3 linked regions of the Anolis sagrei genome follow. The protein of the gene in region 2 interacts with the protein of the main gene of each other region in a biochemical or structural test. Links are inferred from orthologs where the notes say so. Each region holds a gene or a part of one and is shown on either strand. Other genes may lie near its edges.

What was found.
Region 1: the proteins of PRKAR2A (region 2) and AKAP1 form a complex in vitro, tested with the Homo sapiens proteins (2 studies listed by BioGRID, with this or other methods). The link is inferred for Anolis sagrei from reciprocal best matches to the Homo sapiens genes PRKAR2A and AKAP1.
Region 3: the proteins of PRKAR2A (region 2) and RAB32 interact in a test that uses a peptide from one of them, tested with the Homo sapiens proteins (2 studies listed by BioGRID, with this or other methods). The link is inferred for Anolis sagrei from reciprocal best matches to the Homo sapiens genes PRKAR2A and RAB32.

The regions. Positions count from the first base shown.
Region 1 is NC_090031.1:20,965,189-20,975,259, forward strand, and holds the start of AKAP1 (A-kinase anchor protein 1, mitochondrial), read right to left. Parts: upstream 6,392-10,071; 5' UTR 6,241-6,391; intron 1-6,240.
Region 2 is NC_090022.1:28,672,854-28,682,924, forward strand, and holds the start of PRKAR2A (cAMP-dependent protein kinase type II-alpha regulatory subunit), read left to right. Parts: upstream 1-4,659; 5' UTR 4,660-4,796; coding exon 4,797-5,067; intron 5,068-10,071. UniProt on the Homo sapiens protein: Regulatory subunit of the cAMP-dependent protein kinases involved in cAMP signaling in cells. Type II regulatory chains mediate membrane association by binding to anchoring proteins, including the MAP2 kinase.
Region 3 is NC_090021.1:74,908,265-74,918,335, forward strand, and holds the start of RAB32 (ras-related protein Rab-32), read right to left. Parts: upstream 5,427-10,071; 5' UTR 5,102-5,426; coding exon 4,810-5,101; intron 1-4,809. UniProt on the Homo sapiens protein: The small GTPases Rab are key regulators of intracellular membrane trafficking, from the formation of transport vesicles to their fusion with membranes.

The sequences.
Region 1 (10,071 bases), on a different chromosome or scaffold from region 2:
GGATTTATAGTTCACCTACAATCAAAGCGCATTCTTTGATGGTTCAATTCAACAATTGAATTGAACCAAACTTGACACACAGTTCTCCCATCATCAATAGAAAATACTGGAAGGGTTTGGTGGGCAGTGTCCTTTGTTTTTGGAGTTGTAGTTCACCTACATCCAGGGAGCACTGAGGACTCAAACAATGATGGATCTGGACCAAACTCTACACGAATACTCAATATGCCCAAATGTGAACACTGGTGGAATTTGGGGGAAATAGAATCTTGACATTTGGGAGTTGTAGTTACTGGGATTTATAGTTCACCTACAATCAAAGAGCATTCTGAACCCCACCAATGATAGAATTGGGCCAAACCTCCCACACAGAACCCCCATGTGGGCCACAGAACGGCATGGAAGGGGACGGCTAGTATTACAATATAATGGTGTAGTACAATATAGGTAAAGGTAGGTAAAGGTAGTCCCCTGACATTAAGTCCAGTCATGTCTGACTCTGGGGTGTGGTGCTCATCTCCATTTCTAAGCCGAAGAGCCAGCGTTGTCCATAGACACCTCCAAGGTCATGTGGCCGACATGACTGCATGGAGCGCCATTACCTTCCCGCTGGAGCGGTACCTATTGATCTACTCACATTTGCATGTTTTCGAACTGCTAGGTTGGCAGAAACAATATAGTACTATATAATACTGATATTGTACTGTGCTAACAATTTAATATATTGTATGTATATATATCTTATAAGCCGCTCTGAGTCCCCTTTGGGGTGAGAAGGGCGTCATAAAAATGTCGTAAATAAATCTATATAAATAAAAATATAATGTTCGTTTGTGGGATTAACTCAACGCAAAAACCACTGGACGGATTGACACCAAATTTGGACAAAATACACCAATCAGACCAACGAGTGACGATCACTCATAAGAACACCAAAAAACCCACAAAAAATACATTACAACGCATGCGCAAAACCACATATATATATATACGCAAACTCATATATACAAATATATACAAACACAAAACACATATACACAGACTGGGCCACAGCAACTCATGGCAGAGGACAGCTAGTTGTTACACACATATATATATATATACACACACACACACATCTTATGCACTATACGGGAAAACAAATGCAAGTAACGCTATTCTGGTTCAAACTATTTTGGATTGCGATACTCAGTCTCTACTCGGAGGGAATGGAGTCATAGTAAACCTGCCGAGAGTGAGAGCGAGGGGAAGGCAGGCCGGCCAAGGGCATGTTAATGACAATGCCGCTGGGTGAAAGGTGAAGCCGAGGGAAGGGTGACTCAAGGCTCCCTCCAAGGCACAGAAGACACTTCTTCTCAACCGGGTCTCTTCATACATTTCTGGGCACAATGCAAAGTATAGTCGTTCAAGCTGAAAAGTTGTGAAAAGGAGGAAAATCTGAGCATTTTTTGAGGGGGAGGGGTCCTTAAAGCCACACAACGCTCCAAGGAAGGCACTTTGGAAAAGGTGTTGTCGAAGACTTTCATGCCCTGAATCACTGGGTTGCTGTGAGTTTTCCAGGCTCCAGAAGCATTCTCTCCTGACATTTCGCCTACATCTGTGGCAGGCATCTTCAGAGGTTGTGAGGTCTGTTGGAAACTAGGCAAGTGGGGATTATGTATCTGAGGAGAGAAAGAACTCTTGTCTGCTTGAGGCAAGTGTGACTATTGCAACGGGACACCTTGATTAGCATTGAATAGCCGTTCAGCTTCAAAGCCTGGCTGCTTCCTGCCTGGGGAGTCCAGAGTAGGAGAAAGAACTCTTTGTCTGTTGGAAGCAAGTGGGAATGTTCCAATTGGCCACCTTGGTTAGCATTGAATAGCCTTGCAGCTTCAAAACCTGGCTGCTTCCTGCCTGGGGGAGTCCAGGGTGGGAGAAAGAACTCTTGTCTGTTGGAGGCAAGTGGAAATGTTAATATTGGCCACCTTGGTTACCACTGAATAGCCTTCAAAGTCTGATGGCTTCCTGCCTGGGGAGTCCAGGGTGGGAGAAAGAACTCTTTGTCTGTTGGAGGCAAGTGTGAATGTTCCAATTTGCCACCTTGGTGAGCATTTAATTGCCTTGCAGCTTCAAAGCCTGGCTGCTTCCTGCCTGGGGAGTCCAGGGTGGGAGAGAGAACTCTTGCCTGTTGGAGGCAAGTGGGGATGTTCCAATTGGCCACCTTGGTTAGCACTGAATAGCCTTGCAGGGAGTCCAGGGTGGGAGAAAGAACTCTTGTCTGTTGAAGGCAAGTGGGAATGTTCCAATTGGCCACCTTGGTTAGCATTGAATACCCTTGCAGCTTCAAAGCCTGGCTGCTTCCTGCTTGGGGGAGTCCAGGGTGGGAGAAAGAACTCTTGTCTGTTGGAGGCAAGTGGGGATGTTCCAATTGGTCACCTTGGTTAGAATTAAATAGCCTTGCAGCTTCAAAGCCTGGCTGCTTCCTGCCTGGGGGAGTCCAGGATGGGAGAAAGAACTCTTGTCTGTTGGAGGCAAGTGGGAATGTTCCAATTGGCCACCTTGGTTAGCACTGAATAGCCTTGCACCTTCAAAGCCTGGCGGCTTCCTGTCTGGTGGAATCCTTTGCTAGGAGGTGTTAGCTGGCCCTGGTTGTTTCCTGTCAGAATTTCCCCCCCTTTTTTAGTGTTGCTCTTTATTTACTATCCAGGAAGCAGCCAGGCTTTGAAGCTGCAAGGGCCATTCAATGCTGATCAAGATGGCCAATTGCAACATTTGCCTCCAACAGACAAAAGTTCTTTTTCCCACTCTGGACATCATTCCACTGTGCTAAGCTAATAATATAATATAATATAATATAATATATTGTTTACATATCCTACTTATAATATTATAATATAATGCAATTTAAGACTAATAATATAAATAATAATGCAATATTATAATTATATATTTTATATTATATGTAATATTAGTAATAATATTACAATATCATGGTATAGTACAATACAGTAATAAACAATACTGATATTGTGCTATGCTAATAATATAATATATTGTATGTATATATATATATATATATCTTGTAAGCCGTTCTGAGTCCCCTTCAGGGTGAGAAGGGCGGCATATAAATTCTGTAAAGTTAGGGTCCGCAAACTAAGGCCCGGGGGCCGGATACAGCCTTCCAAGGTCATTTACCCAGCCTTCGCTCAGGGTCAACCTAAGTCTGAAACTACTTGAAAGCACACAACCACAACAACAACAACAACCACCCTATTTCATCAGCCAAAAGCATGTCTACACTTCCCATTGAAATACTAATAAGTATATATTTGTTAAAATTGTTCTTCATTTTAATTATTGGATTGTTTCAAAGTGTTTTTTGCACTTCAAATAAGAGATGTGCAGTGTGCATAGGAATTCATTCATTTTTTTCTCCAAATTATAATCTGGCCCTCCAACAGTTTGAGGGACTGTGACCTGGCCCTCTGCTTAAAAAGAGGCAAATAATAAAACATCAAGCAAAAACAATAAAACTCTAAAAACAATGACAACAATATTACAATTATAATATTGTATTATTATTACTAGTATTATATTGCATTACATTATGTGAGAGCCGTTCAGCAGTGGAACTCTCTGCCCCGGAGTGTCATGGAGGCTCCTTCTTTGGAAGCTTTTAAACAGAGGCTGGATGGCCACCTGTCAGGGGTGATTTGAATGCAATATTCCTGCTTCTTGGCAGAATGGGGTTGGACTGGATGGCCCATGAGGTCTCTTCCAACTCTAGGATTCTATGACTCTATGGTTATAATATTATAAATATTATATGTATATACAATATGCATTATATGAATCCATAGATATATAAACCCCACTTGCCTAGTTTCCAACAGACCCCTCAACCTCTGAGGATGCCTGTCATACATGTGAGGGAAACATCAGGAGAGAATGCTTCTGGAAGAGAATTCTGGAACAGCCTCAGCCACAGCAGTGTGTGGCAGGTGACGACTAGTATATATACGAGCATATAAGCCCACTTACCTAGTTTCCAACAGACCTGACAACCTCTGAGGGGAATTCCAGACAGGAAACAATCAGGACCAGCTAACACCTCCCAACCTGGGATTCCTCCCCAGGCAGGAAGCAGCCAGGCTTTGAAGCTGCAAGGCCATTCTTGTCTGCTGCAACCTTCAGCAGACAAGAGACCTTTCTCCCCTCCTCACAACCTCTGAAGAGGCCTGCCAAAGATGTGGGCGAAACGTCAGGAGAGAATGCTTCTGGAACAGACTGAGTCACAGCAGTGTGTGGCAGGTGACGACTAGTATATATACAAGTACATAAACCCCACTTACCTAGTTTCCAACAGACCTGACAACAACCTCTGAGGGGAATTCCAGACAGGGAACAATCAGGGCCAGCTAACACCTAAAAACCTGGGATGCCTCCCCAGGCAGGAAGCAGCCAGGCTTTGAAGCTGCAAGGCCATTCTTGCCTGTTGCAACCTTCAGCAGACAAGAGACCTTTCTCCCCTCCTCACAATCTCTGAGGGGAATTCCAGACAGGAAACAATCAGGGCCAGCTAACACCTCCCAACCTGGGATTCCTCCCCAGGCAGGAAGCAGCCAGGCTTTGAAGCTGCAAGGCCATTCTTGCCTGTTGCAACCTTCAGCAGACAAGAGACCTTTCTCCCCTCCTCACAATCTCTGAGGGGAATTCCAGACAGGAAACAATCAGGGCCAGCTAACACCTCCCAACCTGGGATTCCTCCCCAGGCAGGAAGCAGCCAGGCTTTGAAGCTGCAAGGCCATTCTTGTCTGTTGCAACCTTCAGCAAAGAGACCTTTCTCCCCTCCTCACAACCTCTGAAGAGGCCTGCCAAAGATGTGGGCGAAACATCAGGAGAGAATGCTTCTGGAACAGACTGGGCCACAGCAGTGTGTGGCAGGTGACAACTAGTATATATACGAGTATATAAACCCCACTTACCTAGTTTCCAACAGACCTGACAACCTCTGAGGGGAATTCCAGACAGGTAACAATCAGGGCCAGCTAACACCTCCCAACCTGGGATTCCTCCCCAGGCAGGAAGCAGCCAGGCTTTGAAACTGCAAGGCCATTCTTGTCTGCTGCAACCTTCAGCAGATAAGAGACCTTTCTCCCCTCCTCACAATCTCTGAGGGGAATTCCAGACAGGAAACAATCAGGGCCAGCTAACACCTCCCAACCTGGGATGCCTCCCCAGGCAGGAAGCAGCCAGGCTTTGAAGCTGCAAGGCCATTCTTGCCTGTTGCAACCTTCAGCAGACAAGAGACCTTTCTCCCCTCCTCACAATCTCTGAGGGGAATTCCAGACAGGAAACAATCAGGGCCAGCTAACACCTCCCAACCTGGGATTCCTCCCCAGGCAGGAAGCAGCCAGGCTTTGAAGCTGCAAGGCCATTCTTGTCTGTTGCAACCTTCAGCAAAGAGACCTTTCTCCCCTCCTCACAACCTCTGAAGAGGCCTGCCAAAGATGTGGGCGAAACATCAGGAGAGAATGCTTCTGGAACAGACTGGGCCACAGCAGTGTGTGGCAGGTGACAACTAGTATATATACGAGTATATAAACCCCACTTACCTAGTTTCCAACAGACCTGACAACCTCTGAGGGGAATTCCAGACAGGTAACAATCAGGGCCAGCTAACACCTCCCAACCTGGGATTCCTCCCCAGGCAGGAAGCAGCCAGGCTTTGAAACTGCAAGGCCATTCTTGTCTGCTGCAACCTTCAGCAGATAAGAGACCTTTCTCCCCTCCTCACAATCTCTGAGGGGAATTCCAGACAGGAAACAATCAGGGCCAGCTAACACCTCCCAACCTGGGGTTCTTCCCCAGGCAGGAAGCAGCCAGGCTTTGAAGCTGCAAGGCCATTCTTGTCTGCAGACAAGAGACCTTTCTCCCCTCCTCACAACCTCTGAGGAGGCCTAGATGTGGGCGAAACGTCAGGAGAGAATGCTTCTGGGACATAGCTATACTGCCCAGAAAACTCACAGCAACCCAGTGATTCCGGCCATGAAAGCCTTAGACAACACAGTAATGATATTAATAGTAATAGAATACCAATAGAGGGGCCTCCTGCAAACTTGGTTGGAAATCCAAGCCTTGTATGTAGTATCACAACAATACTAAAGGGCTGAGACTGACACACACACCCCCCCCCCGCCAAGGGGCAAAGGCAGAAGAACCGGAAGGGCGCGCAAGGGCCCCAAAGCAGGCCCCTCTCACCGTCCTGGGAGGCTTCTGCTCGGCCTGGGCCCGGGCCCCGCTCCGCTCCACGTGCCGCCTTCCTTCCCTGCCTCCCGCCCGCCGGGGCCCTTCAGAACGCTGAGGCATCCGACCAAAATACACAGCGTCCTCTTGGCCCCGCCCACCGCGCCTTTAAGGCCCCGCTCGCCCCGCCCCCTCCGCCCCACCCCCTCCCAGCCCGCGCGAGACTTCCCTTTCCCTCCCTGGGAGCAGGACAAGGCTGCCCATTGCGCATGCGTGACCCGACTCAGGCTCAAAGGAATGACGAGGAGGGACCGCGCAACGATTTCACCCGCTTTCTCATGACCCAGTGCTATGGGACCCTGGGAGATGTAGTATAATTCCACAGTGTTGAGCCATGGCAGTCAAAAGTGGTATCAAACTGAATTAATTCTACACATGGGCTTCCAGAACTGATGGAGTAAGACGAGAAAGGACCATACAATAGGTTGTTGTAGGTTTTTTCGGCCTGTATGGCCATGTTCTAGAGGCATTTTCTCCTGACGTTTCGCCTGCATCTATGGCAAGCATCCTCAGAGGTAGTGAGGTCTGTTGGAACTAGGAAAATGGGTTTATATATCTGTGGAATGACCAGGGTGGGGCAAAGGACTCTTGTCAGAAAGGGTGAAACCATTAAATGAACAAAATCTGGCTAAAAAAGATAAAGGTAGTCCCCTGACATGAAGTCCAGTCATGTCTGACTCTGGGGTGTGGTGCTCATCTCCATTTCTAAGCCGAAGAGCCAGCGTTGTCCGTAGACACCTCCAAGGTGTCTGATTCCCATGTCTGATCCCACAGCAAGCTGGCTCCAGGAAAGGCAAAAGCTGCACATCGCAAGTGTTGAACCTGACTCAGCACATAGAAGATGGCTTTGAAAGTCAGCAGATCACAGGAGCTATATTCATAGACCTGTCCGCAGCCTATGAGACTGTGAACCACCGCCTCCTCTTGAGAAAAATGTACAATATCACAAAGGACGACCACCTCACCCGCCTCATAGGAAACCTGCTACAAAACAGGAGCTTTTTTGTTGAGTTCCAGGGCCAGAGAAGCAGATGGCGGAAACAGAAGAACGGCCTGCCTCAGGGGAGCGTGCTTGCTCCATCCATGTTCAACATCTACACAAATGACCAGCCACTGCCAGAAGGGACAGAGAGTTTCATCTATGCTGATGATCGTGCCATTACTGCTCAAGCAGGGAGCTTTGAGATGGCAGAACAGAAGCTCTCCGAAGCTCTAGGTGCTCTTATTTATTTATTTATTTATTTATTTGCTATATTTATATACCGCCGTTTCTCAGCCTAGCCGGCGACTCAACGCAGTTTACAACATAATATAACAATCAACAGTATACAGTTAAAAGCATAAAAAACATAAAAAACATAAAAACACAATTCATACATCAATACCAATCCAGTTCGACTCTTAACTAAAAACGTGATCCAGTTCGTCATCCATGTTGCCAGTCCTTTAGTCAGTTACCATTCGTTGCATTGGGTTAACCAAATGCCTGCTTAAACACCCAGGTCTTCAATCTTCTTCGGAATATCATCAATGAAGGGGCTGATCTTACCTCCAAGGGCAGGGCGTTCCATAGCCGTGGGGCCACCACAGAAAAGGCCCTGTCTCTCGTACCCGCCAGCCGCACTGCCCATTACAGGGAAAACCAGCTGATCCCTAATCCATCTAAAACACAGACATGCGCCTTTCACCTTAAGAACGGACAAGCATCCCGAGCTCTGAGGATGACCTGGGAAGGAATCCCACTGGAGCATTGCAGCGCACCCAAATACCTGGGAGTCACTCTGGACCGTGCTCTTACCTACAAGAAGCACTGCCTGAACATCAAGCAAAAAGTGGGTGCTAGAAACAATATCACACGAAAGCTGACTGGCACAACCTGGGGATCACAACCAGACACAGTGAAGACATCTGCCCTTGCGCTATGCTACTCTGCTGCTGAGTACGCATGCCCAGTGTGGAAAACGTCTCACCACACTAAAACAATGGATGTGGCTCTTAATGAGACATGCCACATTATCACGGGGTGTCTGCGCCCTACACCACTGGAGAAATTACACTGCTTAGCCGGTATTGCACCACCAGACATCCGCCGGGAAGTAGCAGCCAATAGTGAAAGGACCAAGGCAGTGACATCTCCAGCTCATCCCTTGTTTGGTATCAGCCAGCATGTCAACGACTCAAATCAAGAAATACTTTTCTTAGATCTACAGAGACTCTCGCTGGAACACCTCAGCAAAAGTGGCAGGCCCAAACCCAGCACCTCAATCCGTGGGTGATACCAGATGAGAGACTCCCACTTGGGCACACAGAAGACTGGGCGACTTGGAAGGCACTGAACAGACTGCGCTCTGGCACCACGAGATGCAGAGCCAATCTTAAGAAATGGGGCTACAAAGTGGAATCCACGACATGCGAGTGCGGAGAAGAGCAAACCACTGACCTCCTGCTGCAATGCAACCTGAGCCCTGCCACATGCACCATGGAGGACCTTCTTGCGGCAACTCCAGAAGCACTCCAAGTGGCCAGATACTGGTCAAGGGACATTTAATCAGCTACCAAGTTTGCAAAATTTGTTTTTTTTAATCTGTTTGTTTGTTTTGTTCTGCTAGAAATGTAATACAATGTTCTGGTTGCGGATGACACGATAAATAAATAAATAATCTCCAAGGTCATGTGGCCAGCATGACTGCATGGAGCACCGTTACCTTCCCGCCGGAGCGGTACCTATTGATCTACTCACATTTGCATGTTTTCAAACTGCTAGGTTGGCAGAAGCTAGGGCTGACAGCAGAAGCTCACGCCGCTCCCGGAATCGAACCTGCAACCTTTTGATCAACAAGCTCAGCAGCTCAGTACTTTAACCCACTGCACCACCGGGGGCTTACCATTTCAATGGTAAGCAAACAGTATTTTGGCACCCCCCCCCCCCAAACCAATCATTGATATATATTTTCTGTCTGTTGTGGGAGTTGTGTGTGCCATATTTGGTTCAATTCCATCATTGGTGGAGTTCAGAATGATCTTTGATTGTAAGTAAACTATACATCCTAGTAACTACAACTCACATATGTCAAGGTCTATTTCCCCCCAAGAGTGCGCCTGAGCAAAATCAACTATACTGCAAATGTTTACTTTGCGTATTGGGTTGAGCCACCCCTGGGTCTAGGCCAGATATGGGCAAACTTGGGCCCTCCAGGTGTTTTGGACTTTAACTCCCAGAACTTCGAGTTCATAGAATCCTAGAGTTGGAAGAGACCTCGTGGGCCATCCAGTCCAATCCCATTCTGCCAAGAAGCAGGAAAACTGCATTCAAATCACCCCTGACAGATGGCTATCCAGCCTCTGTTTAAAAGCTTCCAAAGAAGGAGCCTCCACCACAATCCGCGGCAGAGAGTTCCACTGCTGAACAGCTCTCACAGCCAGGAAGTTCTTCATGTTCAGATGGAATCTCCTTTCTTGTAGTTTGAAGCCATTGTTCCATTGTGTCCCAGTCTCCAGGGCAGCAGGAAACAAGTTCGCTCCCTCCGCCCCATGACTCCCTCTCACATATTTATACATGCACCTCATCATGTCTCCTCTCAGCTTTCTCTTCTGCAGGTTAAACATGCCCAGTTCTTTAAGCCGCTCCTCATAGGCCTTGTTTTCCAGACCTTTGATCATTTGAGTCGCCCTCTGAACACATTCCAGCTGGTCAACCTCTCCCTTCAATTGTGGTGCTCAGAATTGGACACAGTATTCCAGGTGTGGTGTAACCAAGGCAGAATAGAGCATGGGGAGCATGAGTTT
Region 2 (10,071 bases):
ATTTGAAAAAAAATGAATGAATTCCTATGCACACTGCACATATCTTATTTGTAGTGCAAAAAACACCTAAAACAATACAATAATTAAAATGAAGAACAATTTTAACAAATATAAACTTATTAGTATTTCAATGGGAAGTGTGGGCCTGCTTTTGGCTGATGAGATACGATTGTTGTTGTGTGCTTTCAAGTCATTTCAGACTTAGGTTGACCTTGAGTGAGGGCTGGGTAAATGACCTTGGAGGGCCGTATCTGGCCCTTGGGCCTTAGTTTGAGGACTCCTGCTCTAAAACATTCTGTTTCTACTGACTTCTAAACTGTACTGTGTTCCTTCTGATGCAAGCATACAGACTTCTAAAAATGGAGTCTTGAGTCTGAACAATCCCAGATCTAATCATGTGGTCTGCAGCCCCTCCCATAACAAAGAGTTAAGGAAAACTGCATACCAACACACCTATACAGTACAGTAAGCAATCTGAATTATATACATAACAAATAACTATTATAGGAGGCATGTAGAAGGTCGCTATTTCCAACAATATGCGTACCATTAGTATCCTCTAAACCTGAGCTTTAAAAACGTTTTATGTTGGTGGCACACCTTTTAAGGTAAAGGTAAAGGTAATGGTTTCCCCCTGACATTAGGTCCAGTCATGTCCGACTCTCGGAGTTGGTGCTCATCTCAATTTCTAAGCTGAAGAGCCGGTGTTGTCCATAAACACCTCCAAGATCATGTTGCTGGCATGACTGCCTGGAGTGCCGTTACCTTCCTACCAGAGTGGTACCTATTGATCTACTCATACCATTCAGGCACATGCAATTTCGCAACACAGTAATTCAGGTAGACTAGCAAAATGGAGGTTCAACCAACCCCTTATAAGAGATACATACATGAATTGTAATAACGAAATCTATGGGGATACGTGTGCTGTCGCACGCTGGGCCTGTGCATATGACTGTAGACAGGACATAAATTCTGTGTGCCCAACGGGACGTCGGGGACGCCTCAGATTAAAGGCCCTTGGACCTCCCCAAAACAAAGTTCTGTAGAGGCTTAAAGTAAGTCCAACAAAGTTCTTTATTGATGAAAACAAACAGGTACATTCAAGCTTTCTTAACAGTCTATTGGCTCTTGCAATCTTGTTCACTGGGAACAGGCACTATCTTCATAACTGTATACTAACTAATGGGGAAATCCTTAACTTCTAATCTGGGCAGTTTGTACTTGCCTCTGTTGGTGTGGAGCCCCTGCACCCGGTACCAACTGCGTCTGGCTTCTGCGAGCAACCCTTACCAAGCAGAGCTTTGTAGACTTCCAGGGGGAAAGGATTCAGGCTTCCGTGATGGCTGACTGAAGTCCCCCAGCGAAGGAGCTGCAAGGCTGTATAACTCCAGTCAGGCTGTAGGCTGTATATCTCCCCGGCCAAGCCGTAGAAGACGAAGCTTTCTACAGGAGCTCTTGGTATTATGTCCTGCATGGAAAGCTGCTCTGTGTGGACTGAACTCAAAAAGGCTCCTATTCCCTCCAAAACTCAAAAAGGGGCGGGACCAGGGAACCTAACGATAATTGACAGGTGGTTTGCCCTATGATTGCAAACGATAACAGGAAGCCACCCTGCTGCAAAATCCCAAGCCTGGGATTGCAAACAAACATTTAATGCAAAGCAAACAGAATTGGAGCTCCTGGTACAACTGTACCAGCACACAACGTATCTCATGAAAACATTTCATTATATTTAGTTATATTTATTTATGGCTTATTTCACATAACTCAAATGTTTGTGTGACACATCTACTCACTGCAACAAATACACGAATGTGTCATGACAAACAGTTCGAAAATCTTTCCTCTGAGTGCTGAATTGGGTTTTTATTATTAAGAACTGATTATAAATATAATTATTTATACATCATTTATTTATTTATTTATTTCATCTCAGGCACAAAGATCCTAAATGACACACAACCTTTTAAAAAAAGACCCAATTTAAAAACTTGCAGAATATAAATGTTCAAATAGATTTAAATATACAGATATATATTTTGCACCCACTCTGGTTGCTTGGTTCAAGATGAATACCAGGCATCCATCAATACACAATAGTTGAGTCCTAGTCTGGAAGGGAAAAAACAGAATACAAAGAAGAGTGATTTGGGATGAATTCTTATGAATACTATGCTTTCAAGTCACTTGTCGGCTTAAAGCGACTCCATGAATTTCAAAGGGTTTTCTGAGACCTAATGATTAAAAACCAGAAGTGTGCCAATGTGTCATCCTCATGTCAAATGCTACACTGAAAATATAGGCAATTCTCCTCTTGTGAGATAAAATTTCAGATTTTAAAGCTGTGAAATAAATCTGGAAAATTAGGAGCTTCCGAAAGGTCCAAATTTGCAGGGAAAAGCTCCTCCAGCTTGCACATTACAGGCAAATGCCATTAATTTGACAAAGGGTCTGCTCTTTGGTCTGTTTCTTGGAAAAGTTCTTTTAAGCTTAATCACATATTCAGAAATGCTATACAGTAGATTATCAGTTAATTAATTTATTTATTTACAACATTTATATGCCACCCTTCTCACCCCGAAGGGAACTTAGGGTGACTTATAAGATATATACATACACACACACACACACACACACACTCACTATATTATTAGCATAGTACAATATCAGTATTAAATATTACTATATTGTACTATACCATATACTATATTGTACTATGGTGACGGCCGACAGGGAGCTCTGGTGTGGGCTGGTCCATGAGGTCACGAAGAGTCGGAGACGACTGAACGAATGAACAACAACAACTATACCATTATATTGTAGTATTATTAGTAATATGACATGTAATATAAATATATAATTGGAGCCCCTGGTGGCGCAGAGCCCCTGGTGGCTTCAGTCCCTGTGCCGGCAAGACTGAAGACCGACAGGTCGCAGGTTTGAATCCGGGGAGAGCACGGATGAGCTCCCTCTATCAGCTCCAGCTCCTCATGCGGGGACATGGGAGAAGCCTCCTTCTAGGATGGTAAAATAATCAAAACATTCGGGCATCCTCTTAGCAACGTTCTTGCAGACGGCCAATTCTCTCACACCAGAAGCGACTTGCAGTTTCTCAAGTCGCTCCTGACCCGACAAATATATATATATATATATACACACACACACACAAAGAAAATTATAATATATTATTAGTATTAGTTTTATAATGCATTACATTATATTATAAATATTATATGTATATAAAATATATTATATTATAAGAATAGTTAACCTGAACTCAAGCAAGGAATCAAAGAAATACTAATAATAATGTGTTGCCAAAGGCTTTCATGGCTGGAATCACTGGTTGCTGTGAGTTTTTCGAGCAGTATGGTTATAGAATCACGGGATTTGTAGTTTTGTGAGGCACCAGCACTCTTTGAGAGACAAGGCTAAACACCTTGTAAAACCACTCCAATACAATAGCATTGATTGAGCCATGAGTTAGTTGTCAAACCTTCCACGCATGCGCACTACGCACTTGGCCTCCTAGTCCTTTTGTCTGGTGACGCATTCTTTCCCCTGCTCACCATTTCACACCTCCCTCGAGGCCCCGCCCACAACTTCTGCATAGCCCCGCTCACAGACACACCTCTAATCCTCCGCCCCCTCTCCGCGGGTTCCTTCTGCACATGCGCAGAACATTTCTGCCTCTCTGTGGCGCTCACGCCTCCTTTTGTCCCGTGACGCACAATCCTTCAGTCCTCCCTAGCCCCGCCCACCACTGTATATCTTCGCGGCTTCCTCTTGCACATGCGCAACACAAGCACACTCGCTGTCTATAGCGTTCACGCCTTAGTCCTTTCTCAGCGTGCTCGCTTCTCCCCTTCGAAGCCACGCCTCCAATTAATTCATAGCCCCGCCCACTACACAGCTTTTTTTTTGTCCTGTCAGGAGCGACTTGAGAAACTGCAAGTCGCTTCTGGTGTGAGAGAATTGGCAGTCTGCAAGTCTGATTTGATGTTTTATCATCCTTGTGGGAGGCTTCTCTCATGTCCCCGCATGAGGAGCTGGAGCTGATAGAGGGAGAAGCTCATTTCGCCTCTCCCTGGATTCGAACCTGCGACCTGTCGGTCTTCATTTCTGTCGGCACAGGGGTTTAACCCACTGCGCCACTGGGGGCTACACAGCTTACTGGACCTTTTGCGCGGCTACCTCCTGCACATGCGCACTGCAAGCATACTCTCCGTCTATAGCGCTCACGCCTCCTTTTGCAGCTTGACGCGCCTCTCCATGTCTAGGCCACGCCTCCTCCTCTCTAGCCCCGCCCACCACACGCCTCTCCAGACCGTCTCCGCGGCTTCTTCCTACGCATGCGCACCGCAAGCACACCCGTCACATAGCGCTCACGCCTCCTTTTACAGCTTGAGGAACCTCTCCATTTCTAGGCCACGCCCACTCCTCCTCCCTAGCCCCGCCCACCAAGCGCAGCGCCGACTTTTTCCTGCGCATGCGCACCGCATGTAGCCCTCATGCCTTAGTGTCCTTTTGCTTCTCCCCATAGGAGGCCACGCCCCCTATTCCTCTTGTAGCCCCGCCCATCTCACACACCTCCTCCCTGCCTGGGCGCGCGCCGCGGCTTCCTGCTGGGCATGCGCAGACCTTGCTCGCTGTTGCGCGCCCGCGCTTGGCCCCTCCCCCGCTCCGTCCCTTTCTCTCCGTCGCGCGCGTGCCGGCTCCCGTAACGGCTCAGTCTGAGGAGGGAAGGGCAGAGAGAAGCAGCGGGCGCGGAGCCTCCCTTCGACGGCGCCAAGATGAGCATCGAAATTCCGCCGGGGTTGACGGAGCTGCTGCAGGGCTACACGGTGGAGGTGCTGAGGCACCGGCCGCCGGACCTGCTGGGCTTCGCCGCGGACTACTTCTGCCGCCTGAGGGACAGCCGAGACCAGCAGCTGAGGGAAGCGGCGGCGGCAGCGGCCTCCGCCCGGGGCAAAGGCGTCCTCTTCGACGGGGAGCCCATGCAGACAGAGTCCAACGGCGAGGAAGAGCGCAGGGAAGCCGAAGACTCGGACTCGGACTTTGAGCGTGAGTCAGGGAAGAGGAGGAGGAGGAGGAGGGCGGCCTAGGGCGCTCAGAATAGAAAATAGCCCCGCTTGCTTGCTTCCTTGCTTGCTTGCCTCCCTCCCCTCCTCGCGGCTATTTCATGGCGCACTCTTTATTATTATTATTATTGGTGTTATCCTCATCATCATTCTCATTATTGCGTCTTGCCTCAGGCGGGCGAGGGAGGGAGGGAGGGAGGCGGGAGAGAGGCAGCCTTTCTCAAGTCCCTTGTTGGACCAAACGGGTCGCCTCGGAAATGTGCCTCTGGAAAGCCACGAGAACTCGGTTGCCTTCTCTAGACCGGTGGCTTTCAAAGAAAAAAGGCCTGCACGTTTGTGGGCTTGGGGGAGACTTCTTCAGAGCTCCACGGTGGAAGAAAGGTGATGTTTGTATGTGTGTGTAGAGAGAGGGAAGTGTGTATCTCTCTAAAACTATATGTATAGGGAGAGGTGTATGTGTCTCTGTATATATATATATAGAGAGGGGGGGGGAGTGTACTTATATAAAGAGAGGTGTATGCATATATATATATATAGAGAGAGACAGAGGTGTATGCGTATATATATATAGAGAGAGAGAGAGGTGTATGGATGTATTTATATAGAGAGAGAGGTGTATGCGTATATATAGAGAGAGATAGAAGTGTATGAATGTATCAATATAGAAAGAGGTGTATGTGTATATATAGAGAGAGAGGTATATGGTTGTATTCATATATAGAGAGAGGTGTATGCATGTATATATTTATAGAGAGAGGTGTATGGATGTATTAATATGTAGAGAGCTGTATGTGTATATATATATAGAGAGAGAGAGAGAGAGGTGTATGGATCTATTAATATGTAGAGAGATGTATGTGTGTATATATATATATATAGAGAGAGAGAGAGAGGTGTAAGTGTATATATATAGAGAGAGAGAGGGAGAGAGAGGGAGGTGCATGAATGTGTATATATATAGAGAGAGAGGTGTATGAATGTATTTATGTAAAGAGGTATGTATGGAGATGTGTGTGTATATATACACACACACACGCACATATATATAGAGAGAGGTGTGTGTTTATATATCTGTGTGTGTATATGTATATATATATATATATATATATATATATTTATAGAGAGAGAGAGAGAGAGGTGTCTATATAGAGAGACCTATAGAGGTGTATAGCACCAGATCATATATTTTGACAAATAGATTTACGTGAAGCTTAAAAAGTGGGTCGGTGAGGATGTGTCAATTTATATATAGAGAGAATAGTGTGTGTGATTATATAGAGAAAGAAGAAGCTGTATATGTATATATAGAGGTGTCTGTTTATACATATATATATATAGAGAGAGAGAGAGAGAGAGAGAGAAGAGGTATGTGTAAGAATATATATCAATCGAGAGAGGTGATTATAAAGGAAATAGTATGTATAGATAGAAAGTGCGAGGGAGGTATGTGTATGACTATAAAATAGAGGGGTGTGTACATGTGTAATATATATATATATATATATATGGGTGTATACACACACATATACATATGGGGAGAGAGAAGGTATGTGTACGAATGTATATAAATAGAGATGTGTATATGTGTATATATAGAGGTTTGTATATATGTTTAGAGAGGGCTGTGTGTGTATATGTGTGTGTGTGTATACATATATGGTGGAAAGAGGGTGTATATGCACATTATATGTGCTGACTAAGTAATGTTGAGGAATGACTGCAAGATCTCTAGACGGTTGTGTGAGTGGTTTCTTTGCGCAGGGAATAGGAGGTGTGACCTTGTCTGTATGATGAGAAAAAGCGCAGTGAATATGGATGCTTTGTGTGTGCGTGTGTGTCCCCTTTATTTCTCCAGCCAGCTAACAAGCTTTATTTTTTTGACTCACCATTCTGTCCAAGGAAATAATGCCTTCCCTGTTCCATAGTCCTTTCATTATGTGTCCTATGTGGATTTTATTTCCACACCCACGTGCATGCTCTTTCTCTGTCTGTCACTTATTTTTTGTGGAGTGGGGAATCTTAACCTCAGTGCTGCAGTAATGTACATAACAATCCCTATGTGTGGTATGGGTCCTGCATGTTGTATAGTTGTCCTAATCCCTGTTGGATGGGTGTGTATATAATAGATTTCTCTCATATGTAGTAGAGAAGACTCTCATTCCCCCAGGGTTTGCACTAATGTGGTTAGAATCTTTTTAGGGAGATTGGGGAGGTTGGAGAGGAACGCACAAGTAGCAGTTTCTTTGTAGAAAGGTTGAATAGTTAGGGAATCTCTTCACTTCCCCGGGTCGGAATCTATCTATCTATCTATCTATCTATCTATCTATCTTGTAAGCTGCTCTGAGTCCCCTTCGGGGTGAGAAGGGCGGCATATAAATGCCGTAAATAAATAAATAAATAAATTTTACTCTGGCTTGTAATAATGGAACTTCTTGCAAATTGTACTTCTGAGCATTTAGGAAAATGTATAACAGTGTGTTGGGTAGATTTTAAAGAAAGAGAACAATTGTGTTAATTTTTCCCATCTCTCTTGTCCTGTTAGAATATTCTGAAGGGGGGAGGGTTATGTATTTAAATCTCACTTTCCAAAGAGAAAGCATACAATTATCACTTAGATTGTCATCACCTCTCTGTATCCACAGATTCCATCACCCGTTGCCTAAAATATTAAAGTATATATTTCTGTATCAATCTATATAAAGGATCTTGAGCGTGTGTGGATTTTCCTATCTACAGGAGTGTGCTGGAATCTAATCCCAGCAGGTACCAATGGGATTATGTCTACAGTTCAACTGTAGACATAGAACTTAAAAATCGACTGAAAGCTCAGAGAATTTACTTTCTAGTTCTGTACTAGATAGGATGGAAGAGCCAATTTCAGGACAAAGTTTGGATTAGGCTTCAGGATATTCCCATGACCTCGTTATGTCAAAATTTAAAGCATACTTTTGATGATTATTCTTAAGAGTAAAGAAGGATATACAGTAGTTGGCAGCCAGGATTGTGGACCAGGAATTCTTGGAGAATACTGTTCACTTCCCATGTCTGTTGACAAACCTTGGATATGTTTGATTCATGGTATTCTTCATTTCAAATTATAATAAGACAAAAGAAAGTAATTTTTAGATAAATTGTTGACTGGTGATGGTTGAACTGATGAGGTTGTGTATGGCTTTGGTTCTTGATTTGGAAGTATAGAAGTATGAGTGAAGAGTTATGACTTTGTATAGTGGGGAGAAATGGAAATACTATTTAATTTATACCTACCCTTTCTCCAAACAGAATTGAAGGTAGCTTAAAGGAGAGAACAAGGTAGAGAAATTACTTGAAACTACCAGAATAAGAAAAATGGAATTCTGTGTTGTTGAACTATTGACTACAAGTAGTAGGATATAATCAGTTTTCAAACTGAAGAAATGAAATGATACAGGGTTTATTCCCTGGTGTGATTGGTACAGTGCTGCATGTTTAAAATGCACATTAATTAAACTCAGAGGAAAAACATCACGATCTTACAGAATTATAATGAGTATTGAATGAACTATCCTTTACATTTTTCATTAGGGGACGTTTTTCCTTTAAGAGATTCAGTAGAATCTGTACAAGATGAGAGGATTTGGCAGGAATTGTGCTTTGTGTTGTTATGTAGTACAGGTTGTGCTTTTATTCCCCATACACTTTCTGTAATCTTTTAATAAAAAGATACTGATAGAATTTGACAGATAAACATGACAGTAATATTCCCTAGGACTGACAAAAGTAGCCACTAATTTTCACTTCTGGTGAATGGAAATGTAATAAGCGGATACCTATTTGGCAAAGTAAAATGCAGAGGCTAGACATATTTCCAAACTGGCTTCCAGATTTGTGTACAGACAACATGACTGTGATGCAACTACTACGTATGTATGTCTGTGTACCTTCAAGTTGCTTGTAAACCCATGATGATCCTATAAATTTCATAGGGTTTTCTTAAGCAAGGAGCACTTTGAGGTAGCTTTGGGAGTTAATGCCTCTGAAATGGACTCTAAAATACTAGGGTTGAATGACCAGGGCTGAATGACCCTACTTAGCTTCCATTATCAGATGGCACCTATGTAACTGGTTTTCAATAGCATTTAATTGCCTTTCTCCAGTGTTTTAGAAAAAGTAAATGGAAATCCACAAAAACCATGCTAAAAATGTCATGTTGTCATAGAATCATAGGGTTGGAAGAGGCCACAAGAATCACCTAGCCTCTACTTAAAAACCTCAGAAGGGGGAGACTCCATCATACTCTGAGGCAGAATACTCCACAGTTGAACATCAGGAAGTTGTTCCTAATGTTTAAGTAGATTTTTTTCTTGCAGTTTGAATCCATTGCTCCATATCATATTCATCAGAGCAGCATAAGACAAGTTTTCCCCCTCTTCAATGTGACATCCTTTCAAATATTTAAACATGACAACCTACTTTTCTCCAATCAAAACATATCCAGTCATTCCCCATAGGACTTGCATTTCCAAACCTTTGATCATTTTATTTGTCCTTCTGTGGACACATTTTAGCTTGTCAATATCTTTGAATTGTAGTCCCTAGAACTGGACACAGTTTTCCTTCTCCTTTGTTTTCATCATGAGAGTATGGAGTGTTGTACCCTTATGTTATTGCTTGCATTTTGCAAGATGTTGGTTGACAAAGCACTTCTCCATCTCATCCCTGTGTTGTGGAGCTAGCTTAGCTCCTTCCACAACTTCTGTTCCTGTAAACTGCCAGGATGGAGTGAAATGTAGATTGAGTGGCTGTGGTTGGAAGATTTGTCCTTTTTTCACTTTGTACACATATGATTGCATCCCGTCCACCATGGCAATATCATGGTGGATGGGATGCAATCATATGTGTACAAAGTTTAAAAAGGAGAAATCTTCCAACCCCAGCCACTCAATCTACAAAATTCGCAGAAGATACAGCTGTGGTGGGGCTTATCTCTGAAGGGGATGAGTCTGCC
Region 3 (10,071 bases), on a different chromosome or scaffold from region 2:
ACATTATCTGGAGGACCTCAGGAATCCCATCTCTGCATTAGGCAGTAACACAGGAATTAAATGTGGCACTTTGTGTGTGTTTTAAAGATGAATTGTATAAATACATGTAGCAGAATCACAAGTGCTATACCAGGCATGAGCAAACTTCAGCCCTCCAGGTGTTATTGGACTTCATCTCCCACAATTCCTAAAAGCCTACCAGCTGTTAGGAATTGTGGGAGTTGAAGTCCAAAACACCTAGAGGGCCAAAGTTTGCCCCTGCCTGTGCTATACCATGTTAATGCTATAATAATAATAATAATAACAGCAACAACAGCAACAGCAACAACAACAACTACTACTACTACTTTTGTATCCTGCCTCCATCTCCCCAAAGGACTTGTGCCAGCTTACATGGGGACAAGCCCAATCAACATAGTTAAAATAACACATTAAAATTCATAAAAACGTCAACAAGCAAAATAAAACAACAATGACATAACACAATATAAAGCAACCATCAAACAGACAGCCGGTAGTCTGAAATAGAAACACAGTTCTGGGCTCGGGCTGGGGGATGATACAACATTTTCTATTGGCAACATGGTGACAGTTGTGGCAACCTAAATTAGTATTTCATGGTTAAATGACAAAACCTACCCATAGATGCTCATATTATGGAGGACAGGCTTACCAACTCAGTTATCACTGTTCTCTTTTACAGGTAATATGTTAAATGTTTTGTTGAGCAACTTGCTCATTTGTACCCAGGTTAAAGTATGATGCATTTTTGTATATGAAGCTCTCTTGTTCAAACATGTTACAAACAGAGCTTGGAAGAGTTACATTTTGGACTACAATGGCCAGAACTCCCAGCAAGGATGGCCACTGACCAAGCTCTTCCGCTCCAAAGTGATTTTGATGTTGTATCTGTACAGCCAACTTACAGGGAGGAAAGCAATGCTTCTACAGTACTCTTAGTGTGAATGAATTAAATGTGCATTTTTGCCCCTAATCCTCTTGCTCTCATTACAAGAAATAATGGCTGTTCCTCAAAATAACTGTGTTCAGAAGAGAATGCTGATCCCATACTGGAAGATTGTCAACTTGGCAAAAGAAGACAAAAAAAAAACCCTTTCTTGCCTTTTACTGCTGTATAAAATGGTTTATAATCCTAACAGCAGGTCAAAATGGAAGCCGACCATTCTCCAAACTAGGGAAAAGAGGAACCAAAGAAGGCATTTAAATGAAAGGAAGACACTTCTTCCAGGAAAAACCATAACTTACACGGGATGCTCACTGCAGGGTGGTGATGCAACTGAAGAATTGCCACATTAAAAGCTCTGTGCAACTTAACAGTTGCCAGAAGTTAAAGGGAGACTGTTAAAGAAAGCTCCCATTGTTATTAAAGTTAGTGAGTACTGCAGAATGTACAAGATCACTTACATTTTAAAAATACACTATTTTAAATAGTTTTCCAAAATCCTTAGAGTTTGGGAACAACATAGATACAAAGGAATTTTCTACTATTCAATTGTCATTCAGAACATCTGGAAAAGTGTAATACAGAACATGGAAAAGTTCCTTTCTATGGCCCTCATCACACTAGAGAATGAATCCACTTTAAATCCGGTTTCTGCCTCCTGCAGAATTCTTGGGTTTGTAGTTTAGGGAGAAGCCTTTAACAGCCTCACTAAACTACAAACCCCAGAATTCTGCAGGAGGCAGAAACCAGATTTAAACTGGATTCATTCTCTTGTGTGATGCGGTCCTTTGTCAAAACCTTAGAATCTATCAACTAGCATTCCCTCCTGTTTAATTTCTGGTACAACAGAAAATGTTTTCTTTCCTTAACAGCTGTACATGTGCACTCAAGACCTAAAATGCATTCACAAAAATACAAGGAAGAGTTTAACTTTTTGAAACTAGACTCTTCATGCAGCTGTTTGGGAAAGCAAGAACTTTTCAAAGACAAAAGTTCAATTTTTAATAGAAATGTGTTGTCATTGCTCTATTTCTATCCTGCCTTTCTCCCAGATCAGGATTCAAAGACGTTTCCAATAACTAAAAAAGGCATTGCTCAAAACCAGCAAGACACAAAGCTTAAAACAAGATTAAAAAATCCCCCCCCCCCCCAAATCAAAACCAGATTAAAACATACACAATAAAACACACATACATGCAGTCGTACAATTAGCAATATCCAGCACATTGTGTAAGTTAATGAAGGCTTTGCAAATCTAATGCTTTTGCCAAACTTCCACATTTATGCCATGGCTCATTGGATCTTAGGGCCTCTATGTTTGTATTTTCCCTAGCTCAACGTCACTTCTGTATAGAAAGGGATACATCATGTGTGAAAACCCATTCTGCAGTCTGGTACATGCAAACACAGTACTCTAGAACAGTGGTTCTCAACCTGTGGGTCCTCAGATGTTTTGGCCTTCAACTCCCAGGATTCCTAACAGCTGGTAAACTGGCTGGGATTTTAGGGAGTTGTAGGCCAAAACACCTGGGGACACACAGGTTGAGAACCACTGGACTAGAGAAGGTTTACCAGCTGTTAGGAATTGTGGCAGCTAAAGTCTAAAAATCCCAGAGGAGCACAGTTTGAGAAACTCTGCTCTAAACACAGGAGATCCCAAATGATTTTGGAAGCTAAGTAGGGTCCACTCTGGTAGTACTTGGATGGGAGACACAAAGAATACCAGAAACTGTAGGGGAAGAAACTGTCAAAACTACCTCTGAGTATTCGTTGCCTAAGAAAACTCTATGAAATTCATGGGGTCACTGTAAGTTGGCAGCTGACTTGAAAACACAAACCACACAAACATTGTACAAATGCCTATGCCACAAAAGCTAGGCTTCAGAGCACCCCCATAGCGAAGGAGCGTTGCACAAATACATTGCTAAAGATTTAACACAGGACATGACTGTCATTTCCACAAATTGTATTATTTGCTCAAAGGAAATTTCCATTTTTCCCACTGCAAAAGGATGTTGCAGCACCTTTGAGACCAGCTGAAATAGAAAAGGGCTTCTTACACTCTGGGTCCCAGTCACAAACGGGATCCCATTTGGCTCAAAAATGGGGGCACGAGAAGTGTGGCAACAGCAAAAGGTTTCTGAACACCAACCACTTACACAACAGAAAATGCTTCAGCTGTAATAATAATAAATAATAAACTTTATTTATATCCCGCCACCATCTCCCAAGGTACTACAAGTGTAGTATATAACATCAACAGTACAAGAGTATAAAAACAATCTCACATAAAAGTTATACAAACAATGACTATTAACCCATAAAAAAAGAAAAACACAGTTTAAAATGTAGACCATCTGTAGTTAAAACTAGCTGCCTTCAAATCACAACTAAAGTGCCAAAGTGTCAACCTCATATGGGCCCATTTCAGCTTACTCAAGGCCAAAAGCCTACTTAAAAATCCATGTTTTGTGTACTCTACAAAAAGGAAAAGCAGCTTGTTCAGCAAGCCTTGCAAATGCTGGTTTCTTATTTGGTTTTTATGCCTATATACCTGGGGTCACGAGAAATATCATCAAGGGAGAAGAGGTGGTGGTTGGGGAAAGCTGGCATAGGTTTTGATAGGCTAGCAGTGGCTCTAAACCTGTGGGTCCCCAGGTTTTTTGGCCTACAACTCCCAGAAATCCCAGCCAGTTTACCAGCTAACTGGTAAGTTGAAAGCCAAAACATCTGGGGATCCACAGGATGAAAACCACTGACCTATAGGTTTTGATAGGCAAGTGGGATCCCTGGTTCTTAATCTGTGGGCAGCGGATCACCAGTGGGCCATGAGAATAAATATCTGGTCTGTGAGCCTCCTCCCTCTTTATTAATTTTATTTTAGTTATTGTATTTCCACTCCTTTTGCGCTGCCTGCCACTGCTTCCCTGTTGCTGACCATACCATATGCTCTGTATCAGAAACTAGAGCTGATGTGGTCTATCCAATGCAATTTTCTGAAGCAGCACCTCAAACCGAATCTTAACTTGACCAAAAACTGATTTATAACCCTTTTGGTACTAATCGGTTGGGGGTACTTTGAATGCAATTTCCCTGCTTCTTGGCAGGGGGTTGGACTGGATGGCCCATGAGGTCTCTTCCAACTCAAGGATTCTAGGATTCTAATGTTGGAGAGAGGTCCCTGGTCAAAGTGGTCCCTGGTCAAGGTGGTCCCTGCTCAAAAAGAAAGGTTGGAAAGCTCTGCTTTAGCTCAATGTTGGAATCATTTAAAAGTTTTTGAAGGTCACCTGGTAGCTGTTTTAGACATTGACACAAACCTGTTGAGCAATGTTTACAGAAGACTGTGCAGAGGATGCTTCACCTGTACAGGCAGTCCCTGGGTTACAAACATCTGACTTACAAATGGCTCAGAGTTAAGAACAGGGGTGAGACCACAAGAAGTGAGAGAAATCTGCCCCTTTGAAGGGAAATTCTTTTCTGGAAGAGTAACCATAGGGAAAAGGGCTCTCCACTGAAGCTTTCTCGCCAATCCTTGTTTCCTTAACAAGCCACACTTTTCCAAATCCAATTATCACAGGGACAGAAAATGAGGTGAAGTCTTCTGAACAAGGGAACAGGCAGCAACACAAACACCACAGGGCACTTCCTTAGCGTTTGGGTCTTGCTGCAAACCCACACCATGGGCATGCCCTGCCTCCTTCCTCTCCCTTCCCACCAGGAAGACAAGGAGAAGAGCCCTCTATCTATCCACCCCGGGGCCGGACGAGGAGCCCTGCTGGGGGCTGGCTCCCTTCCTCCGCCTCTTCCTCCTTCCTCCTCCCCCGGCCAAGGGTCCCGCTCCTCACCGGCGATGTCCCAGAGCTGGAGCCTGACCAGGGTCCGGCTGTCCCAGGGCAGGACCTTGAGGGCGAAGTCCACGCCGATGGTGGCCCGGTAGTGCTGCGAGAAGAGCTGGTGGACGTAGCGCTTGATGATGCTGGTCTTGCCCACGCCCAGCTCCCCGATCACCAGCACCTTGAAGAGATGCTCCCGGCTTTCCGAGGCCCCCGAAACGCTGCTGCTGCTGCTACTACTGCCGTTACTCCCACCTCCCCCTCCTCCTCCTCCTCCTCCGGCTCCTCTTTCTCCTCCAGCCATTTCTCACTCTCCCAAACTTCTCAAGAACCTGACACTTGGGAAGAAGGCGAGCAAAGGAGGGAGACCCAGCCGCCCGCTCCACTCTCTCTCTCTCTCTCTCTCTCTCTCTCTCTCTGCCTGACTTCGGTCCACTTTCTTTGTCCGCTTCGCCTACCCAAACCGGGGAAGGCAAGGCAAGAGGCGAGGAAGCAACCACCTGACTTGGAGTCACAGGACGCGGAAGAAACCCCGCAAGTTATAAAACTCCCGAAAGGGGCGGAGGAAGCCAGGCAGGAGGGAGCAGGCCCGCCCCGGCCCGGATGCGGAGCAGAGCGGAAGGCGGCGTCCAGACGGGCCTTGGGCCCAAGGCCGCTTCAGCAGGGAAGGGGAGGCGGACAAGAGCCACCCTGACTCTCCTCTTCCCTCCTAGCGCTTGAATTGCCCTGTCTCCGGGCTGTAGTCCTGCAAATATATTGGTCTGCCTTCTCTGCCAGAAAGGGATGGTGCCTCACCAAACTACAACTCCCAGGATCCCATAGCATGGAGCCAGCGGTGTCAGGCGGCATTCATTCTACAGGTGGCATCCCAGGTGGCACAGGAAAGAGGCACTAAAGCAAGCATGGGCAAACGTCGGCCCTTCAGGTGTTTTGGACTTCAACTCCCACCATTCCTAACAGCCTAAGTGCCCCTTCCTTTCCCCCCCTCAGACGCTTAATTTTGTCATTTGGAAGTTTTAGTTGCTGGATGATGGATCTGGACCAAACTTGGCACAAATACTCAATATGTCCAAATGTGAACACCAGTGGAGTTTGTGGAAAATAGACCTTGACATTTGGGAGTTATAGTTGCTGGAATTTATCGTTCACATACAATCAAAGAGCATTCAGAACCCCACCAACAATAGAATTGGGCCAAACTTCCCACACAAGAACCCCCATGACCAACATGACCAACAGAAAATACACTGGGTTTTTTTTGGTGGTCTTTGGTGACCCCTCTGACATCCCCCTTTCAACCCCCCCCCCCCAGGGGTCCTGACCCCCAGGTTGAGAAATGCTGTACTAAAGCAAGCATGCACAAACTTGGAAAAAGAAAGGGCCTGAGACTGTTAGGAATGCTGGGAGTTGAAGTCCAAAACACCGGGGGGGGGGGGGAGTTTGCCCATGCTTCTACTAAAGGAACCCAGTGCAATAATTCATGGTGCAACCTTAATGAACCATCTTCTGCATTAGGCCATATCACAATATTGTAGCTAAAACACCAGGAAGTTGATAAAATCACTGATTATTCTACAAAGCCACAGTAACAATTAAAACAACGGAGCATATTTACAACACTTACAAGTGAAACAACATGCTTCCAGGTAGGAAAGAATTAGTAGGTTGTGACTGCTACTTCCTACAGCTACTCAAGGGATGTCCTGTCACACTTTACCTGTTTGCTCATCCTCTGTAGGCAATGCAGTTGAAGTGTATGCCCAGTCAACGTTCCTTCTTGTTTCTCGATATTGCTTTAGGCTTCAGAGCTAGAAAATATATTTGTAGGATCCAAAAGGTTTTGGAAGACAAGTTGCTTATTCACATTTTTTCAAAAACCCTTTCACCTAATTATTCGCAATGATTACTCTGGTGTACTGTAATGAAATCAAAGTGTTGGCCATATTGAATGGAATTGTGTTTCTATAAACCATGTAATTGGTTTATAGGTCATTTTTAACTGATTCATAAATGATTCATATATTTACTTTAGCAATCAGCATTGAACAGGTCAAGACTTGGTAAACTATGAACAGATATATATGAAAAACCTGTTTGCTCCTGAGATGACATTTTTCTGCTTCATAGTATCAACTGTTACACATATGATTCTGGGGGGTAAAAAGAATGATTAACCAGCTTGAACAAAATGTTGCTATATTGTTGCATAGTCAAGTGGCTCATATAAATATGTTGAGGTTAAAACACATACTATAATCTTCTGGTGGAGTGTAAATATTGCTGTTCAATTCAGAAGTGATACAGTGTTCTCTGCATCATTGTAATTAACTCAGAAGAGTGATCCTCTTTTCTTTTTAAAGAAACAGAGCTGTAGTATTTAAAACAGATTTGAATACTGCCAAAGTTCAGAAATGATTGGTTAAATTAGTTTGATTCTGGACTAAAAGCTAATCAAGAACAATTTAGTGGAGAATCCTGCAATATTGAATTCTCGACTTTTCTTTGTAGTCAATTTTTGCCTGAAAGAACAGAACCCTGACTAGCTCTAGTTCATGTTCCTTCTGATATTGAAATTACCTAGAGACCATTAGATGGAGTCTTATTGGAAAGTGCTTAATTTTGCATCAAATGCCCCCCCCCCCCCAATGAAGTACTGGTGTGTTGGCTGCTCTGGGGACCAATGTAGCTCCTTTTGACTAACTATTCACATAGGACATACGTCTGGTGTTGTGCACTATAACCGTTAGGCAAATAGTTTTTAACACTATTTCATTTATGTAAGCATTTTTGATGTTGTTATGAGCATCTTTTAGTACATTTTCAACATGCAGAAGATTATTTTAAGAATCAGAAGAAGCTCTAAATCTGTGTTTCTCAGCCTTCCTATTGCTGAAACCCCTTAATACAGTTCCCCATGTTGTGGTGTCCCCCAACCATTATTTTCATTGCCACTATATAACTGTAATATAACTATAACTATATAACTATAATATAACTGATTCATAACCATTATGAATCATAATGTAAATATCTGATATGCAGGATGTATTTTCATTCACTGGACCAAATTTATAATTTATAATTTTCAATTTCCTAAAATTTTATTAATGAGATTTTAGGCACTGTTGATAATACTTATGCCATTGTATTTATACTTATGTATTGTTGTCTGCATGTGGCATTTGGAGTGTTTCTGTGAGCCACCCTGAGTCCCTTTGGGGAGATGGTGGCAGCGTACAAATAAAGATGAAGATGATGATGCTTATTACCCGATAAGCCCAAATTTGAATATTGATGGGGTTGGGGGGGGGGGGGTTGATTTTGTCATTTGAGAATATTGTTGCTGGGATTTACCTACAATCAAAGAGCATTCTGAACTCCACCAATGATGGAACTGAACCAAACTTGGCACACAGAACTCCCATGGCCAACAAGAAATACTGGAAAGACTGCTTGAAACAAGAATAATAAAATAAGCACTATTGGACATCATGTAGAATAACAGAGAAAGACTGATCAGTGAAGTACCAATAACATTTAGAGCAAGCCTCAACCAAACATTCACTACAATCATCATTCGTAACTGATACTTGTTATCATCACAGTTTTCAGAAATTACTGTCATCCAGAATACTGTTAGTTAACATATGAGTATGGTGAATTGTGAAGTTGAGGCATATGCTTCCATGCAAAACTGCAAAAATCACTAACTGCCTTGTGTTTTTCTTACATCATTAGCTGTTTTATCTCGGCAAATGTGTAAATTTGTATTGAATATCATTTTAAGTGAACTCCAATGGCATTTTCTGAGTATGTGCATATGTTTCCTTATTTTATTTCTATTGCTTTAACTCTCCTGCAAACTTTCTCAGACATTTGGCTCAAACAAAATCCAGAAGCCTTTAAATAAGCACCCCACATTCAGTGTAATGTAGTAGTTTGCATGTTGGACTAGAACTCTGGAGATCCGAGTTTGAATAGTTTGAAAAGTTACATTGTCTCAGCCTCAGAGAAAGACCATAATGACTGATCAAATTGTGGCAAGAAAATCCAGGGATATGTTCACTTTAGGGTTGTCAGATATGATCTGAAGGCACATGACAACCAAACACCTGGAAACAGAAAATGTGTGATTAGGGATGCATCATCTCCAGCCAGTCTGCTGATATAGAGCATGTTCTCCAAATTTCTTTTGTAAGACAAGAACTGCTGTTCTAGTCTTGGGCATCCTTTCTGTCTGGACGTTTATCTCAGCCAGCTAAAACTGACTCTGATTATCACATAGGTTGGAAACACATCACATTGTGCATTCTCAAGTCTTTAGGAAATCCATCTCTACCAGTTTCCAGGAAAAAAATTCTATGGTTATTTGTTCTTTTCATGAGCAGCATAACCTCCATAATTTGTCAAGCTCCTGTTGCTACTATAAAGTTATTTAATCCAAATTCACTTGATGCACTTACTGAATTGGGATGAAAAGTGGACAGGAAGACAATTAAAATTTCCTCCTGATCCCCCAAAGGGTTTTTAAGGAGATGAGCTAGTCATAATTATCTGTGAACTGGGGAAGAGTTATACAGTGCTTTTTAAAGAAATGTAGACATATAGAATAAAAATATGCAGTGGTCATACAACTTGAAGAAGATGAAGGAAGGAGTGCTGGATTTCTTATGCCATAAAAAAGAGCAAATGTGGAGTTATGTCAACAGGAAATTGGGTCTCCCAGGAGAGTAGAACTTCCAGTCTGTGGATCTAATTCAGTCTACAAGAAGACCCAGTCCTTTCTAAGGAAGCACTGTGGGTCCTCTTTTATCCAAAATCCCCTTCCTGGGGAACCTCATCCCATGTCATATTTTGAACCAGAAATAAAGTAGGACTGGTGACTCCTCCAGTTGACTCTGAGAATTTAATGGGGAGCTTTGCCCACATTCTTCAGTGTTGGTGGCAGAAGTATTCTTGCAGCTGATGCTTTGGCTAGAAACTGCCCTGCCTTGCATTCTCCCTGATGGAGAAAAGGCCATGGTGGGCAAAGCTTCCAGGAGTCAGGTACCGGATCCAGGAATATTCTTGCAACCAGTATACTGGCTGCTATTCACAGGCATGTCAAGGAAAAACAACTTTTCTCCTATATTGTAGCTGTGTTTTTTGGGTGTTGAATTCAAATAACATAATAAGGATATCCTTTCACACTATTTCTTCAAGAAATTTAATTACTAATTTCAATACTAATTTTGTCTAGTCACATACTGCAATATTAAAATCTAAACAAAGTGT